4 linked regions of the Saccharomyces cerevisiae S288C genome follow. Changing the gene in region 4 together with the main gene of any one other region gives a genetic interaction. Each region holds a gene or a part of one and is shown on either strand. Other genes may lie near its edges. The genes, in order: BUD2, DMA2, MSB1 and GIC2.

Region 1 (5,560 bases), on a different chromosome or scaffold from region 4:
GAAATATCATCGTGTTGTCCGAACGATACAGGGGACACCTCCTCATCATTATCACATTCGAACACTTCCTCATCACTAAATTTCCCTTTAGGTACAAATACAAATCAATTCCACCAACCAAGGCAGCCAGTACAACAGCAACAGTCTTCGAAACCAAACTTTGGTGCTGGGAGGAAAAAATCTTTCATTGAGATGTCACTAGCAAGTTCCTTTGCAGGCTAACATTCTCGCCACCTTGGAATAACCGTATGATGTTCAACTTTGTTATTTATTTCCACATTCTGGATCGCCATCTGTTCGTTTTTATTAAATATAATATATACCCATTTGTATCTCCTGTTTGGTTTCCAAATTTCCATATACTTATCGCTGTCTATCATCTCCTCTCGAAGCATTTTTTTATATACTATATTATGAGAAATCTTTCTGAAAAATTATGAATTACTTTTTTCTGCTGATAGTACAACCCGCTATATACTGTTACAAGTAGTGAATAAAGAAGTAAAAAAAAAAAAACTTTCAAAGGAAAGAATATGAAGTGAACATTTTTTTCTACGATTAAGATCCCCCTGTTTCTTTTTTCTTTTTGAACCATCTTGTCAGCTTACGGGAATTTTGTTCTTTAGGAACATCTGCGTTAGGAGGTTTCCTCATTATCCTAGATAACTTTGTCGGGGAAAATCTATTCCCCAAGTTACCTTTACCTTGCGAGTTTGGAAGCGTCAAGTAATCATCCTTGGCTCCATTTTCCGATGATGTTCCATGTACCGATGTTTTGTTGCTACTCTTGGGATTCTCATCACTTACATCAATAGTCAAAAATTTACAGTAACTATCTCCAACTGTGTTATTGGATTTACTAGAGACACCTTTTGTGAAGAATTTCTGCAATCTTGCGGAAGAGTTTTCATTTGTTGGTTTATTTAGTAGTTTAAGAACAATTTCTTTTCCCTCCTTTATTTCTTCATAAAAAATTTTATGTGAGAGTGAAATGGAGTATTTTTTGTCTTCAAACAAAGTGCTGGAAGCACATTCATAACCTGACAACCGTTTTCTAATATGATTAATCCTATTATAGAGTAAACATGACTCTTGCTCCAATTCTTTCATTGCATGCTTTTCCTCTTCTGCTTTCGGGATTATAGAATTAAATTTGATGCCTGAATTAGCGCCATTATCCAAATCTCTGCTTCTGGAACCTACATCATCGCTTTTCAGTAGGTTCATTAAATCATCTCCGAAGATCTCCGTGTTGTTTTCAGTTATTTTCTCAAATTCTAACTCTCCAATTTCTGGCTTAACCTCAATTGGTGAATCCAAATCTTTTTTATCCACAGACAAATTTAGGCTGCTACCGCTTAACAGGCCCTCCTCTTCGATTAATTCTCCCTTCCCACCATTATCCATGTGATTGTATTTTTCCATCTTGGTCATATCTTCCTGACTGAAATTAACAATCAAGTTAACAAACTCAGTTTCTCTCAAATTCTTATCAAGCAGATAAGGAATCTGAGGCAAATCATCCAACATCGTTTGTTCAATGGCCAATTTGGGTCTCGAAATAGTAGAACTTAGGTTCAATATCTTTGAATTAAAATCTAGTTTCTTTTGCGTCATTTTATCAATGTAATCTAATAAGTCATTGTGTCTTTTATCGATAAAGTTATTCATCTTCATTAGCCAGGGCTCTTTGTTTGCAAACTGCGTCAAAGTGGACAGATTAAGTAAAACTTTACTTATTAGGGTAAGATTCCTTCTTGCTGTTTCGTTTAAATTTTGAGAAACATATTTGAATAGCTTAGGGTTTAATATGACTGGACAAAAAAACCTTAAAAACAATAATCCTGATATACCATTCAAAATTATTTGCAAAGTGTCATCGATACAAATTATCTCTAGTTTTTGCCTAAAGATTTTTAAAACATTTCTTATTTCAATCGGCAGGTCATTACTCGTTGCATACAGCCTTTTCCAAATCTTCGTAACCCAAGAATACAATCGTTTGTAGTTGTCGGCAATTATTTTCCTCTTTTTTACTTCATCTTTTTCTTTTACTCTAGCAGGATCCAATTCACATGATTTGTTTGACTCAATGATCTCTTTTAGTATTGCACTAAGCGCTTTACTCAAATATTCATTACCCACTCTGAAAAAGTACTGTTCAATCGACTTTGTTAAGATAGAGTTACCACGGAATAAACTGTTGAAAACATGCTTTGAGTCTAAATTTTTCTGGTTTATTCTTGAAACCGTTCCATCAATTTTAGCCAATTCTTTGTCTATAAGGACGTGGAACCATTCTTCTATTCTTGACAAAGATTGGAATATATCGAGAAAAATTATGGATGTTTGCGTCAATTTGTTATCATTCTCCATTGATGAAGAAGATTTGTAAATTAGATTGGAAACCATGGACAAGTTTGCGTTCATCAAAAGTTTTTCCAATTTAACGAAATTGGTTGACGGTAAAATGAAGTTCAAATTTGAAGAAATTTTAATACAGATTGTTCCTATTTGAAAATTTTTGTTATCAACGTCCATGATGGGTAGTCTTGTTTCCTTATTATATCTTGTATCATTTATTATTTCTTGTGTGATTTTTATTTTGCCTATCAATCGTAACCGTTTTTTATTATTGAGATCGTGGAATAACTGCTTGATTTCCAGATAAGAATTAGTAAGTCTTAAAAGTTCATTGAACTGAAACTCTTCTCTCCAAAATGGATTAGAGGAGTTTGAAACCATGGATGTTCTAGCCCATGTATGGCCCCAGGCCGTTATGTCTGTGAATATTGACCATGGCGTATTATTCTTGTCATTTAAATTGATTGACTGAAAATTAGCTTCCAGTATGGAAATTTTAAAGCTATTCGATATCTTCATATCATTTGATTTATCTGAGCCAGTAATAGATAAGTATTCCGACCTAGCGAACGATTGTAACGCTATAAAACAATCCTCCAGGTCTATTCTTAAGGGAAACTCTACAATAATTTCTTGAGAAATATCACTAGAGTTGGTGGCAGCACTGGCAATATTTTCTATGCGAAACTTTTCGAGGCCCAACTGGCTCCTTAGTAATGGCAATTCACCTAAAAACAAACTGTTTTCACTTTGTAAAACAGATGAATCCAGAATTCTTATCTCTGATCTTAAAAGCTGGCTAATATTCAATGAGTAAATCAGAGAGCCGTCACTCTGTAAAAGAAGATCTAGCATGCCGTTTGATTTAAGCACCCCCATAGCGGAAAACCAACCTACGCTGTTGTCATCATTATTAATTATATCAGGGCTTTCTAAAATATTTGTTGCTGGCGGAAGGACGATGTTCTTAACGATGGGCCCAAAAACATTCAATTTGTAAACCAGCAAACTTTCTGGTTTCGCCATTTTTTTGCTTTTAAATTCTAGAGGTCGCGATACTTGAAACTTATTAAATATACCATTTGTCTTCATTGAGCTCCACCAGATCAGACATGTTAGCAATTTCTTGAAATCACTCCAACTTTTAACTCGCAGGTAAACTTTATTATCTTTACCTGAGGTGTTTACTTGGATTATAAAATTACAATTTGCATTAATATCCTTAAAAGAGGAATGCTTATCCTTAATAATCTCGATTCTACATTGCTGTAGATGTTTGATAATTGGCTGAATATTAGTAGAGTCTGCTGTTAACTCATCGATTGAGTGGGTTAGTGCACCTGTACTGGTAATTTGCAGATAGTGTGTCTTCCAGTCGTTTAAGGACAGGTTATTACACCACTGAATCTCACCCTTAAAGGTATTCTTGTAATGCTTAACGTTGGACAAAAATTCATTCAATTTGAAATATGATGTTCGACTTTGGGCCGGTTCATTGTTGGAGCTCATAATATGATACAATCAAAGATAAACACCACGACGTATGCACGGATAAAGTTTTCAGTCTGACCGAGTAGTTATTCCTACTATTTTGTTGTTTCTTCCTCCGTTTTCATAAATGGCGTTTGTTTGGATACCTTTCTTTTTTATCGAACAGAACGCGTTCAAGAATGAAAGTCATTAATTATTATTAGATACAGAGATATACATATTATAGAGTATGCATGCTATATTCACGGAAAGCTACGACGAAGGCCTGTATCATAGTTAGCTGGTAACAGTAAATTTACCAAAAATGTTGGGAATTTCACCTTCTGGTCCGATGTATCTAGGGTCTCTCCAGGGACCAATATCGGAATAGTAGAACTTATCATTAGGGTTGTGCAAGACAGATGTACCACCATATTTAACAGGCAAGTTCTCGATTGGAATTTGTTTTAATAATTCCTTTTTATAAGAAGAGCCAAGAATAAAGATTTTTGACACGGTTACTGGATCCAAGAAGGGTTTAACCATCTTGAACATCGTCGAGAAACCAAATGGACTGTGTATAATATAAAACTTACCCATTCTTTCAGGATAATAATTTTGACTGATATCTGCAACATCTTTAATATAGGAAAGCACATGATAAGCATTAGAAAGTGAGATACCCTTCAAGTCCAGCACAGTGCACGAAGTTTCAATAAGGTAGCCAGCTCTTCTCGAACACGCTGGGACCCGGTACGTGGCAAATAATTCGTACTCCTTGACTAAGTTTCTTAGCATCTGTTTTTCGGTAGTGATCTTGTACATTTTCTTTAAGTTAATTCCTCCTAGTTCTTCGAAGTACAATGGTCTCCCATCCTTATCAACGTGATGGTAATACTGAGGGTACATTTTGGCCAATTTGATTCTTTCTTTGTCTTCGGCTTCCTTGTTGTTTTCATAATCCTCGATAATAGTGTTGGCACCGTATTCTTCCCTCCATCGTTCAGTTTCTACAAACATCTCAACGCTAGCATTGATATCAAATTTCCTTGCCCGTAGAAATCGCAATAGCGTAGAATCATCCAGCCTTTCTTTGTAATTCTTTTCTAACAAGATTGACCTAAATTGCAAAAGCGCTTCCTCTTGCTCCTTAGTCAAATTGCCGGGAGTACCTGGCAAAGCATTGGGGGAGCATATTTGAGGATAAGTATCGAGTATGCTGGTTGTCATTCTTCCTTTCCAGTTTTAACAGTGCGCAAATGTATTGCTTTTCAGATTTATTTCCCCGTTATACAAGTTCAAGGAAATGTTTGAGTAGAGAGAATCACGATCTAAATAATAATCCGAAGAATTTAAAAAGGAGTAAATAGGGGCATACAAGAGGGGGAATTTCAGAAGTGCCTGTTATGTAAAAAAGATATGATAACACATAATGGATTGCATACCAGTAAATTTCCATATGTACTATGCCGACCTCTTTTCATGTAAACGCCTTGCAAATTCATACTTAATGATTACAAGAAAGTAATATGTAAATTTTAAGCTCAGGTTCAAGGTTTATAAGGGCCTTCGTCTCTGATAGAAGAATCAAGTTGGTAAATCCAAATGGAAGTACGGGTCCCAATAGCAGGTTTGATTTTTGAAGGTGACTCGAGATATATCAGCTGCCGCCCCTGAATCAGCAGTAATTATAACTGAAGAGAACGGACAATGTTTTACGTATAAT
Region 2 (4,073 bases), on a different chromosome or scaffold from region 4:
TGGTGGATGTTGATAAGGAGCCTTTCTTTAAACCATCTAGTACTACAGTGGGAGATATTCTTACCAAGGATGCTCTAGAGTTCATTGTTCTTTTACACAGAACTTTCAACAACAAGAGAAAACAATTATTGGAAAACAGACAAGTTGTTCAGAAGAAATTAGACTCGGGCTCCTATCATCTGGATTTCCTGCCTGAAACTGCAAATATTAGAAATGATCCCACTTGGCAAGGTCCAATTTTGGCACCGGGGTTAATTAATAGGTCAACGGAAATCACAGGGCCTCCATTGAGAAATATGCTGATCAACGCTTTGAATGCTCCTGTGAACACCTATATGACTGATTTTGAAGATTCAGCTTCACCTACTTGGAACAACATGGTTTACGGTCAAGTTAATCTCTACGACGCGATCAGAAATCAAATCGATTTTGACACACCAAGAAAATCGTACAAATTGAATGGAAATGTGGCCAACTTGCCCACTATTATCGTGAGACCCCGTGGTTGGCACATGGTGGAAAAGCACCTTTATGTAGATGATGAACCAATCAGCGCTTCCATCTTTGATTTTGGTTTATATTTCTACCATAATGCCAAAGAATTAATCAAATTGGGCAAAGGTCCTTACTTCTATTTGCCAAAGATGGAGCACCACTTGGAAGCTAAACTATGGAACGACGTCTTCTGTGTAGCTCAAGATTACATTGGGATCCCAAGGGGTACAATCAGAGCTACTGTGTTGATTGAAACTTTGCCTGCTGCTTTCCAAATGGAAGAGATCATCTATCAATTAAGACAACATTCTAGTGGGTTGAATTGCGGACGTTGGGACTATATTTTCTCTACAATCAAGAGATTAAGAAATGATCCTAATCACATTTTGCCCAATAGAAATCAAGTGACTATGACTTCCCCATTCATGGATGCATACGTGAAAAGATTAATCAATACCTGTCATCGGAGGGGTGTTCATGCCATGGGTGGTATGGCTGCGCAAATCCCTATCAAAGACGACCCGGCAGCCAATGAAAAGGCCATGACTAAAGTCCGTAATGATAAGATTAGAGAGCTGACAAATGGACATGATGGGTCATGGGTTGCACACCCAGCACTGGCCCCTATTTGTAATGAAGTTTTCATTAATATGGGAACACCAAACCAAATCTATTTCATTCCTGAAAACGTTGTAACGGCTGCTAATCTGCTGGAAACCAAAATTCCAAATGGTGAGATTACTACCGAGGGAATTGTACAAAACTTGGATATCGGGTTGCAGTACATGGAAGCTTGGCTCAGAGGCTCTGGATGTGTGCCCATCAACAACTTGATGGAAGACGCCGCCACTGCTGAAGTGTCTCGTTGTCAATTGTATCAATGGGTGAAACACGGTGTTACTCTAAAGGACACGGGAGAAAAGGTCACCCCAGAATTAACCGAAAAGATTCTAAAAGAACAAGTGGAAAGACTGTCTAAGGCAAGTCCATTGGGTGACAAGAACAAATTCGCGCTGGCCGCTAAGTATTTCTTGCCAGAAATCAGAGGCGAGAAATTCAGTGAATTTTTGACTACATTGTTGTACGACGAAATTGTGTCCACTAAGGCGACGCCCACTGATTTGAGCAAATTGTGATCTCCCTTGCCCCAGTGTACACATATATAAAAATATATTCATGCCTATATGATTATGTATCGGAATCCAAAAACTTATCTTTATATTGCTTCGTTTCGTAGTTAGCAATGAATCATCTTATCATGATTCCTTTTTTTGTTTTGGCCAGATTAATGTATCACGGTCGACGGCGAAGGCATCAACCATTGTTGTGGAATTTCAAACACAATACTTGATGACTCCAAACGTGGGCATATATTTTGATTTGAAAAGAAGTCGAGAAAGTATAGCAACGCATTGTATACGTTTGAAGCTTTCAGCAAAGGATATACCGTGGAAATGTACACGCCTATCCCTGCTAATACCCCTGCTCCCACTGCACCAACTTCATCGATGACGTCCAACTCTTCATCCGCATCAAATGCCAACACCACTAGCAGTAGTGGCATAAACCCAAGGAACAGAGCCAGTGGTACTCCATCCAATGAGCGGGCTCGTCCGGCGTCGGGTATCAGTTCGTTTTTGAATACCTTCGGAATTAGGCAAAATAGCCAGACAGCTTCTTCTTCTGCGGCTCCTGATCAGCGTCTATTCGGCACAACCCCATCTAACTCACATATGAGTGTGGCCATGGAAAGTATCGATACCGCTCCGCAACAGCAGGAACCACGTCTGCATCATCCTATACAAATGCCTCTGTCGGCCCAGTTCCACGTTCATCGCAACTATCAACTCCCCATCTCCATATCTCTCACTGCCCCTACAACCACAGACCACCAGCAATCATCTGCGCATAATTTCGAAGGCAACAATGTTGGTAACGTTCAAGAGTCTTTGAATCAGCGGCAGCCTAACGGTACTAACAATACCACAACCTCGATAATTTCCATGGCGCCAGCGGCTACAACGAGAAATATAGTCGGTGGTGCAGATGGATCTACTATTGTTAACAACAGTCAGGAAATGTATAAGAATTTACGTCACTTGATATATGCTGCAAACCAGCCAAATGGGACCGAAATTTTACATTTGGATTTACCTGCAACAAGTGCAGAGGAGTCAAACAATATGTTCAATGTAGATGAGGTCACTTTGAAGCAAAGGAAAGATAAGCATGGTCTTTTTAGTATAAGACTAACCCCATTTATTGATAGTTCGTCCACGACAAATCAAGGTTTATTCTTTGAACCGATTATAAGAAAGGCTGGCCCTGGATCCCAATTGGTTATTGGCCGCTATACTGAGCGTGTTCGCGATGCAATTTCTAAAATACCTGAACAATATCATCCAGTTGTATTTAAATCCAAAGTTGTTTCAAGGACACATGGTTGTTTTAAAGTTGACTCTCAAGGTAACTGGTATATAAAGGATGTGAAATCATCTAGTGGAACTTTCTTAAATCACCAAAGGCTCTCACCCGCTTCCTCTTTATCGAAAGATACCCCTCTTCGTGATGGTGATATTTTACAGTTAGGAATGGATTTTAGAGGTGGCACGGAAGAAATCTATCGTTGTGTAAGGATGAGGATTGAGCTAAATAGATCATGGAAACTAAAGGCAAATTCGTTCAACAAAGAAGCTTTACAGCGTTTGCAGAATTTACAAAAATTAACTACAGGTATTGAAGAAGAAGATTGTTCGATTTGCCTATGTAAGATCAAACCGTGTCAAGCAATTTTCATATCACCATGCGCACATAGCTGGCATTTCCGTTGTGTAAGAAGATTGGTCATGCTCTCATATCCGCAATTTGTTTGCCCCAACTGTAGATCAAGTTGTGATTTGGAGGCCTCCTTTGAAAGTAGTGACGAGGAAGATGAAAGTGATGTGGAAAGTGAAGGTGATCAACTGGTGGATCAACTTAGCGTCTTAATGGAAACTTCAAAGGATGTTGATAGCCATCCTTAAGGTCAAAGAAAATACACAGTTTGAAAAATAAAGAAAAACCACCGAACTCCACATCTCGTACCTTAATATTATTTTAATTATTCTCTTAGTATTTATATATTTGCGCCGTTTACATATTTGACTTATTGTTTTCAGGAATACAATACCTCCATCGTTGGCAGTCAATTTTGCTTTCACATATAAAACTAAAAAAAAAGTAAAGAACTCGGTTAATCCTCGGTTAGTTTGCCAAGCTCACCTATTAATCTTAATAGGACTTCTTGAGTTTGTTGTTTGCCCAGACCATACTTATATATTTCATGCCCACCTTCAACTATTTTCCATTCTTGAGTCTTGTGAGAAATTTTGGTCAAATCTCTTTGCCAATCGCCCCATAATGCCGACTTCTTCACCATTTCCTTAGAGCTAACGATGCTTGTCTTCACATTTTGCAAAGATTCTGCATTGTTTGTCACATCTCTGTAACTTAGAATTGAACTCGTCACGCTTTCCAAAAACTTGGAACGCAAGAAACGTCCTTGATATTTCATATCACGCCCATATATACGTTCTTTA
Region 3 (5,971 bases), on a different chromosome or scaffold from region 4:
GGGCTTGTATCCTCTATTTTAGGGTTATTGGCTAGTTGTTCTTGCGATTCTGATAAAACACTACTTTCTTGGGACATACCACAATTACTCGAGAAATTGGATTTATCTTCCGGCCAATATAAGTAAAGAATGTGTTGGCATTATAGTACATTTTGTTGATATCTTTAAAATTACTTGGATTATGAGAATGATTACCCGTCAACTGCTTGGTAAAGTTTTAACGTTCAAGAAAAGCTCTAGACGGCGTAACGCACCTTTTGTTATGAGCGTTAGAAAAATTAGTGACTAAGAGGATGAGATGATAAAATGCATATGATGTTGAATATGGAAAATAAAATGTTATATTCTTACTCAACGTAACCTGCCATTTGTAGGAGTTAAAAATTATGTAGTAGACTTAAATCTCTCCTTATTGTCCTAAATACTTGTAATTACATACACATATATATGTATAAATATTCGGGAAATTTTACAACTGTTGAGATTTCATAAAGATGATAATTTCAGATACAAAGTGTTTCTATATGCCGAAATTTCCGCTTCTAATGTTATCATATAGCTTCTTTCTCTCCTGTCTTTTGTTAATATTTCCATGCAGTTTGTTTCCCTGAGGAGCTTCTGGTAGGTAAAATTCACTATTTACAGCCCCCATAGGCTGAGCGGGTACGGAATAGGCATTCTGCTGCATGCCTTGGGGAAAACTACGCCTGTTAGCACCAGCTGTGTAACGTATCGGCTCCTGAGCTGGTACCATATGGGACATCATTGGAGGTGCTCGCATAGGTGGAGGTCCATTGTAGTATTCCGCAGGTACGACAGGTTGAGCTTGCGGTGAATACCTATTAACGTGCTGCTGTGGATATTGATTGGGGCGAACTCCCTTTGGTACCATTTGCGGCGGATTATTGCTCCACTTTCCATCTAACATATGAGCATTGCCTGCCCGGCTGTTCCCATAAGCATTTGTTGTGTTATTATGATACGGCGGCTGAGTTACCTTGTAAGTATTTACAGGGTGCTGGTGGTTAGGGTTCATTCGTTCCATTTGTTGATATAATGGAACGTTAGATGGAAGATTGGGCACACCTTGTTTTACTGGCACCATATGTTGGGGAATAGGTGAAGCATCTGCCCGTTGATTTCTGGACTTTAGTTCTGGGGGCACAATATTGTTTTGGAAGGGACGTTGTTTTTGTTGGTGAGATGGATAATTATGCTGGTCCCGATATGTCATATGTGGTTGATTTGCTAAAACGTGAGCAGGATCATTATACCCAACGGGTACATTAATCGTGTTCTGCTTGAATCCAGCCGAATTGGTGGAGAATTGTGGAGACCTCGCAGGTGAATATGCAGAAGGTGGAACTGGTGCACTTGCAGGCGACATTTCATTTCTACGATCGTTCTGATAGTATTTTTGCTGAACAGGAGATACACAGTCTCCAGGCGCATTTTTATATGGTTTTGGTGTTACCTGTTGAGATGGACTGACTGCACCTTGTAAGACGTTCAGGCGAGACTCATTCGTAAATGCCTTTTTCGAATCCGAATTTGAATAAGTGGGTTGACTAGGCATTCTTGATGCCGGCAAGTTGTTGATATTTGGAGAATAATATGATGATGAATCGTCGTTGACTTTGGATTCCTCAGAAATCTTTCTAGGTTCCGCTAATTTCCTATCAGCGGTGTATTTGGAACTATCAGCGCAAGAATCATTTGTATTTGTACTTAGCTTCAATGAGTGAACGGCGCTTGAATGGCTGCTTTGTAAGTCATCGTCAGTTATATTGGATGGCTTATATTGATCAAACTTTGTCAATGATTCGAAAGTCTCTGCCTCAGTTATGGAGATTTTTACATCGTCTGGCTCATTAATCATCATTTCTTCAACCATACCGTTTAATTCTTCAATAGCTGAGTCGGTAGCTCTTTTCTGGGAATTTTTAAGTTTGTCACTGTCGTCATCATCGTGTTCGTACATTAATTCCGGTATTTCAATCTTAAAGTTTGATGAACCGGTCTCTATTACTGGTAACTGATATTCATCAGGATTAAGTGTGCTAAACTGAGATAGTACTCGCTCTTCTTTTTTCGATTTGTGATTTTTGTTGGTATGGTATTCTTCGCGGATGGGAGCGTCTTTACTTTTTTCCTCAAATGATGAACTACTAGAGTTACTACCGCTTTTCTTTCGCAGGTTGTTTAGAGGATTCCATTTGGAGATTTTATGTTCAAAAGAATGCAAATTCACATTATGCTTATTTTTAGTCAATGCATTTTTACTAATGACTGTGTGATAGATTCCTTGGTTATCGGGTGCTGAATCCCTTCGAACAGTACTTTGCTGAGGTACCTCAGCTTGGAATTTTTTGTAGGTCTGAGATAGTGTAGGAGATTTGGAGAGAGGTGGATCTTCTAATTCAAAGTCATCAGGAGGTAGTTCCTTTTCGGTCGTTGGTGACTGTGCAGAAGTCTTTTTCTTCAATTGACCCTTTTTATTATAATCTAACGTTATATCACATTCTTGGAAAACCACCCATTTTTTAAATCCATCAAATTCAAATTCCAATATAATAGATCTTCCAAAAATTTTTTTCTTTTCGGATGTTTGTTCGAAAGAAAGGGACGATAACCAAGTCCAAATAAAATAATCATCGATATCTAGTCTTTTAACCTCAATACATTCTTTTAAATGAGAAATATTTTCAATACATTCTCTGGGAGCCCAACCTGGTTGAAATGTTGAATGTTTGGTAGACATTGCTTTCATCAACCTTCTTGACTCCTGGGACATTTTCCTGCTAATTCCCTCCACTGTATTTTTCTTTCTGAATAAAGACTTTAATAAAGCGTAGTCCTCTCTTGCTTCGAATGCATCATGATCACTGAAATCAAGAAGATCATTGCAACGCTCCAATAATTGCCAAGGTTTTCTCGAAAAGACGTCTGTTTTTAAAGTTACCAGAGGAATGGTTAGGATTGTCTCTGATGTGTACGCTGTTGATTTTCTTGGAGGATACTGATTATTGAATAGTAAACTCTTAAGTGTGCGCGGCAGCTTTGCCGATTCAAGATCTTGAGGGACAAAACTTCTTAGAAATGCTAAGAGTAGGTGAAACATGGCATCTGAAGCCGGAATCCACTGATCTAGCCCATCTTGTATGGAATTGTTGGGGGCAAAAGACTTCATGGCGGCTGATTCAAAATCGTAATCTTGGATATCAGAATTTGGTATCTGTTTACTAAACGCCCAGATTGCACACATCTTCGATATTTTTCTAGCACTCATTTTATTAACTCTTGAATTTGATGAAATTGAAATAATCAAGTCAAAAAAATCGTAAACGATTGATGCATGATTTGGGGAAGCTAGACATTGAGGCATAATTTCCAAAAATGATTTTCGAGGAAATTTTTTATCTTCTTCCCTGAATTTAAACTCCAAATAAGATTTCCAGCCTATGATTTCTGAATTTGGAAGTCTGCACCAAATGTATTTTAAGCATTGAAATAAAGTCCAGACATCGGCCTTGGAAACAATTCTGAGCTGTTTTTTTTCGTTGACTGGTTGACCGTTTCCTAGTGGGAATAGCTGATTTAGTAATGTCAGCAATTTGTCGTTCGTCTGTTCCGGCCTGAACGGTATCATTAAAAATTCAACATCTGGACCTTTTTCCTTAAGTTCAGCGGTGATTACGTGTATGACGCCTTTAACTTTCTCCCGACTAAATTGATGGAAGAATTCAAACTCTTCGTCATCCATACTATTGTGTTCGTTTTTGGTTCTTCCGTTTGATCTAGGTACATTTTTCTCATTATTCTGATTTTTGTTTGGACTTAGATTTGTTTTCTGAGCTTTTTTTGGTGAATTGGATCGACTTTTCCTGATCTCAGCAGTCGGTGGAGTTGGGAGAGGTTTTGCCATATCGTTCATAACCAATACTATCCTAATACGAATACCCTTTTGCCATGTAAAGAAAACTTTTATAGAAGCAGCCTCTTGCCTCAAAATTCCCAAGCGATGACTTTTGGCGGTTTCAAGTTGTCATCATTTGCGAATGTTTCGTTTTTTTGTATTTTTCTTTGCTTTTTTCGTAGGAATACGCCGGAAAGTAAACAAATCAACAAAAACGCATTCAAAAACGCCTTGATATCTTTTACATATACATAAGAACACGTCCTTGGTGTGTGCACATGAAATTGTAAAATCTAGTGCTAGCAGGACTCTACCAAAAGTAAAGCTGAAAAATTTATGGCACTTTATTTACACGTATAAAATTTTAACGAAACAAGTATATATTATGAGAGGGGAAATGAACAGAATATATAGAAATATACTCCAGTTGCATCAATAAGTCTATTCAATAATACGTGTGATTAGACCGGTACCAACAGTTCTTCCACCCTCTCTGATATTGAAACGTTGACCAACTTCTAATGGGGTAGGATGGATCAAATCACATTCCATTTCAACATTGTCACCTGGCATAACTTGCATAGAATGATCTTCAACCTCCTTAGGAAATCTCATCACAACTGTAACATCAGCTGTTCTTATAAACATTTGTGGTCTGTAGTTTTCACCAAACCCAGAATGTCTACCACCTTCCTCTTTGGATAAAATGTACAAAGAGGCTAGAATCTTTGTATGGGCTTTAACGGTACCTGGCTTAGCTAAGACCATACCTCTCTTCAATTGATCTCTCCTGATACCTCTAAGTAAAACACCGGCATTGTCACCTGCCATAGCAGAGTCCAATTCCTTTCTAAACATTTCAATACCAGTAACTGTTGTTTTCAATGGGGTGGAGTTGTGACCAACAATTTCCAATTCCTCACCTTTCTTTAAATTACCCCTTTCCACACGACCAGTGACCACAGTACCTCTACCGGAGATAGAGAAGATATCTTCAACGGGCATCAAGAAAGGCTTGTTCAAATCTCTTTCAGGTGTAGGAATATACTCATCCACTGCATCCAAAAGTTTCATGATGGCCTGCTCCCCAATTTCAGGTTGGCGACCTTCCAAAGCGCAAAGGGCAGAACCCATGATAATTGGAGCATTATCACCGTCAAACCCATATTCGTTTAAAAGTTCTCTCATTTCCATTTCGACTAACTCTAACATTTCTGGATCATCAATGGTATCAACCTTGTTAACAAAAACGACAATATGTTGGACACCAACTTGTCTGGCCAAAAGTAAATGTTCTCTAGTTTGGGGCATTTGTCCATCGGTAGCAGCTACAACAATGATAGCACCATCCATTTGAGCAGCACCGGTAATCATATTCTTGATGTAATCAGCGTGGCCTGGACAGTCGACGTGAGAATAATGTCTCTTGGCCGTTTCGTATTCCACGTGTGCAGTAGAAATTGTAATACCACGAGCTCTTTCTTCCGGAGCCTTATCGATGGCAGCATAGTCCAAGAAGTTGGCACCACCTTTTGCGGCTAACGTTTTCGTAATGGCTGCGGTTAAAGTTGTCTTCCCATGATCAACATGGCCGATCGTACCTATATTTACATGCGGTTTGGAACGATCAAAAGCAGCTGCATAGGAAGTAGTAGTTTGAGAAAAGGTCCTAGAAATTACTGAAGAGAGCCTCAGAAGTTTCCCAGAAGCTTTAAAAGCTGTTCTTGTGAGTAATCTTGGTAATAAAGCTGACATTTTTGTCTGTTACCTTTGTCGAGCTAGAATAAAACTGAAAGCACAAAATAGTTTACAACAAAGAAGCTCAAATTTTTTCAGCTTAATCAGTTTCAAAGATAAAAATGACCAAAAATAGGAAAATCTGTAACCAGTTAGCAGCAAAAGGGAGGAAAGCCTGGTCGCGAAAGGATATATTGACTGAGGTCGGATGGGTGCTAAAACAAAATCCTTAAAAATATGAAAAATCAGCTCCAGCGCGGGTTAGTGGGAAACTGACCAATCAATGGGCAGCCTGTCAATTTCAATGCGGGTAACAGG
Region 4 (3,486 bases):
ATTTATCCAAAGGTACTTCATCTATCCATAACGATACTGAGTCTGCTAACGATAGTAGCAATGGCAACGGAAACCTCGGTTTGGGTACAGAGTCACGCAATACATTGTTAACGGCAACTCCCATTGAATTAATCTGCCGGGAAGGCTTCTTCTACCGGAGAGATATTCCGGACGTTCCCATTACCACAGGAGCGTACCTGGAATTTAAATTCAAGGCGAAAGAAGAGGAATTGATCAACTCTAGCATCAATGAGGAGGATTATGCTGCTAAATCAAAGCATGAAAAAATGAATGCGCATTTCTTCAAGCCTGATATTCAAGAAGAGACGGAACTTGCCTTTGAAATTTTGAGCAAGACAACGCTGACAGAGAAATACGTTAACAGTTTGGAGTACTTCTTGATGGAATTCAGGTGGGAGAATAAACTAGTTGGTCTAGGCTTAAAACTTCGGGAATCCAAAAGAACCTGGCAAAGGAGAAAGGCGTTATTTGCCCTTTTCGAATTTTGGAGAGACCAATCAAGAGACAAAAGAAGATTCCACAACTACACCATCCTGCATGCGGTGAAAGAGATGGAAAACTACAGAATATTTATTAATCGATCCGTTTCATGGTTCTACAACCATATTACCCTGCTAAAAATGATCCTCTACGACCTCTGCGACAATGTGACCACTCAATGGAGAGAGTGGATGTTTCCCCATAACGAAACACTGCCGGCATTGGGTCAGGACGGCATTAACGAAGACAATCTGAATGAAACCATCGACAACATGTTAATTTTTGACTTCCTTGATGACGGTTCAGAAAACAACCAGGTCAAATATTCCAGAATCATACCGCCAGATATCCGTTAAGCTGGTCCGTACGTTGGGGCAGTTTCGAGAATAGATAAAAAAATGAAAAATAAAAAAAAATAAAAAAAACACAAAATAATGGACCGTTACTATGCCCAACCAAGTAACCTCCCAACTTATTTGGAACATTACATATTTAGCGCTTAACATTACATACATATTTAGCGCTTAACATTACATACACCTTTATCGACGAATTTGTAACTATTTCTTACTCTTGCGCTGAGGAACGCCCCAGTCGTACAAAAGCACCTCTGCATACTAAGAAACTTAAACTATCGCCATTGTCTCAAAATAGCAAAAAACGCAAAAAGCATACCGCTGGGCGCTTATCTATATTAACCTACACGAGAAAAGAAACATGATTGACTGCGTCAGATTCAAAAACCTGCAAAGTTTGTTTTTATAATTTTGGCGTTCAGCAAGCGCGCGGCTCCGCTCCATTAATATTCCAGAAAAAGAAATTCCTTCTTTGGGTGTTGTGTATTGCTACTTTGGGCAGGCGCGACCGGGCCAAAAGAATGCGGCACCCGGCAAAGACGCGTTCTGGCCCCTGAAGACTTAAGCACTGGAATGGCTCCGAGGATTGGTCACCCAGAAACAGGTGCAGACCAACCATTTCGAGATCTAGATGTTGCCTATTTCTCGAGGAAACGCTGCCGTTATCGCCATGTTTGGTGGAACAATTGTGAAACGTGATCAATTCGTGTTTGCAAGCTAGTGATCATTCGCATCCGAAAAAGAAACTGAAAATGTAAAACTCCAGTAAAACGAGACCTGTTGATGGATTGTTTCGTGTCTGGTATATATTATTGCTACTGCTCAAGAGAGCTTCTTTTTTTATGCTATCGAACTCGATCTTTCGCTCCGAAACACCTAACACTAACAAAAGGAATACCTGACAGAATACGCTATCAAAAGAACGAATATGACTAGTGCAAGTATTACCAATACTGGAAACGAAACCATGAACCTTCCACAGATGCGGTCGATTTGGCTGGATGAAGATGAAGAAGCTGAAAAACTCTACGGTCTGCAGGCCCAGCAATTCATGGGATCTGATGATGAAGAAAACCTAGGCATTACTTTCATCAACAGCGATAAACCTGTGCTGAGTAACAAGAAAAACATTGAGTTGCCTCCACTTTCACCAAATTCACATCCGTCTTGCCACCACAGGAGAAGTAATTCTAACTCTGCAAAGTCTAAAGAATCATCGTCATCATCGTCCAGCGCCAACAAGACAAATCACAAAAAGGTTTTCCTTAAGCTTAATTTGTTGAAGAAAAAGTTGCTTGGTGCCCAACCGGACATAAGAGGTAAAGGTATCTCCACACCATTTGATTTTCAACATATTTCACATGCTGACACTAGAAATGGATTCCAAGATGAGCAATTGCAGGAACCTTCATCGCTGTCCACAGAGATTAAGGACGACTATACCTCCTCCTCAAGCAAGCGGGATTCGAAATCACTAAATAAAGCTTTTGTCACTGAAAGGATCCCTGCTAATCGTGAAAGCAAACTCATTTCAAGATCGCACGAAAATAAGACATCAAGACTATCAGTCGCGCGTTCGATCTCAGTAACGTCCTCCAATTACTCTAAAAACACACAAGGAAACAATCATTCCATTAATGGGAGAGTCGTATCTACGTCAACTATGGCTACATCTATTTTTGAGTATTCCCCAAACGCATCTCCAAAACAATTTAAAAATAAGTCACACGCTCTGGGTCATAGATACACTAATTCCACGGATTCTAGTGAGTCTTCGCTGGATTTTTTGAAGAACTACAACTTCCCCACACTACTTGAAGATAAGCCTATTTTAGACTTCTTGCCTCGTTCTCAGAGGTCAAGCGCTTATCGTAGCCTTTTAGAGACCCCAAACTCAAATAAGGACTCAGCAAAAGCCTTCTTTCCTTCACGCCAAAGCCCTCTTCCCAAGAGAAGAAACTCTATAGCTACGCCTTCTCCACAATCTAAATTTTCCTACTCTGACTCCCCTGTAAACCATAGAAAATCTTTCGATGATGTTCTTTATTCTTTCAACCAGCTCGAGCCCCTGCAAACTTAAGCTAAGGACAGAAAATGAAAAAAAAAAAAAAAAAAAATTCAAAGAATCAGCTTATAAAACATATTCAAGGACCATCTGAAGTATCATTCATTCGTTTTTTACTCGTTAATCTCATTCATTCGTTTCCTCATTCTTTTTTCTTTGTTCTTTATTTCGGCTATTTTTTCACTATTAAAATAACTAGAGCTAACAATATTATTTCTTCTGCTTTAGTTACAAAACAAGGACATTCATTTAACTTGGCGTTATCCCATACATTCGTTTATTATATCTTCTTTTAAAACACAATTTCTTTTACAGTTAAACTTTTCTGATTTATTATATATTACTTAAGATTGTTCATATAACTAACATTTATATGCTTATATGCGTGAAGTGCGCTTTTGTAGAACATGTGGCTGTTTCTGTAGAAGCCTTGTCTTTCTCTGTAATCCTTTAAAGGCCAACCGTACGTGCTTAATTACAAGCTTTGTTCGCATTGCAAGAAAGTTAGAAAAAAAATCAATTCTGAAAGATAATTATAATTCAAACGGTAAACCATTGGTTAAA

Evidence for each region.
Region 1: mutations in GIC2 (region 4) and BUD2 are lethal when combined (synthetic lethality), as found in Saccharomyces cerevisiae (one study listed by BioGRID).
Region 2: mutations in GIC2 (region 4) and DMA2 impair growth when combined (synthetic growth defect), as found in Saccharomyces cerevisiae (one study listed by BioGRID).
Region 3: of GIC2 (region 4) and MSB1, extra expression of one rescues a mutant of the other (dosage rescue), as found in Saccharomyces cerevisiae (one study listed by BioGRID).

Annotation. Positions count from the first base shown.
Region 1 is NC_001143.9:265,587-271,146, forward strand, and holds BUD2 (GTPase-activating protein BUD2), read right to left. Parts: upstream 3,874-5,560; coding exon 559-3,873; downstream 1-558. Other genes in the region: MBR1 (Mbr1p), read left to right, coding at 1-222; YKL091C (phosphatidylinositol/phosphatidylcholine-binding protein), read right to left, coding at 4,132-5,064. UniProt on the Saccharomyces cerevisiae protein: Stimulates the GTPase activity of BUD1/RSR1. Participates in the regulation of bud-site selection.
Region 2 is NC_001146.8:406,392-410,464, forward strand, and holds DMA2 (ubiquitin-conjugating protein DMA2), read left to right. Parts: upstream 1-1,949; coding exon 1,950-3,518; downstream 3,519-4,073. Other genes in the region: malate synthase MLS1, read left to right, coding at 1-1,631; YNL115C (uncharacterized protein), read right to left, coding at 3,728-4,073. UniProt on the Saccharomyces cerevisiae protein: E3 ubiquitin-protein ligase which functions in cell cycle retarding in conjunction with the UBC4 and UBC13/MMS2 complex, 2 E2 ubiquitin conjugating enzymes. Involved in nutritional control of the cell cycle.
Region 3 is NC_001147.6:683,730-689,700, reverse strand, and holds MSB1 (Msb1p), read right to left. Parts: upstream 3,935-5,971; coding exon 521-3,934; downstream 1-520. Other genes in the region: IES4 (Ies4p), read right to left, coding at 1-77; TUF1 (translation elongation factor Tu), read right to left, coding at 4,358-5,671. UniProt on the Saccharomyces cerevisiae protein: May play a role in polarity establishment and bud formation. The MSB1 gene may be functionally redundant.
Region 4 is NC_001136.10:1,078,499-1,081,984, reverse strand, and holds GIC2 (Gic2p), read left to right. Parts: upstream 1-1,785; coding exon 1,786-2,937; downstream 2,938-3,486. Other genes in the region: SUM1 (Sum1p), read left to right, coding at 1-857. UniProt on the Saccharomyces cerevisiae protein: Required for cell size and shape control, bud site selection, bud emergence, actin cytoskeletal organization, mitotic spindle orientation/positioning, and mating projection formation in response to mating pheromone.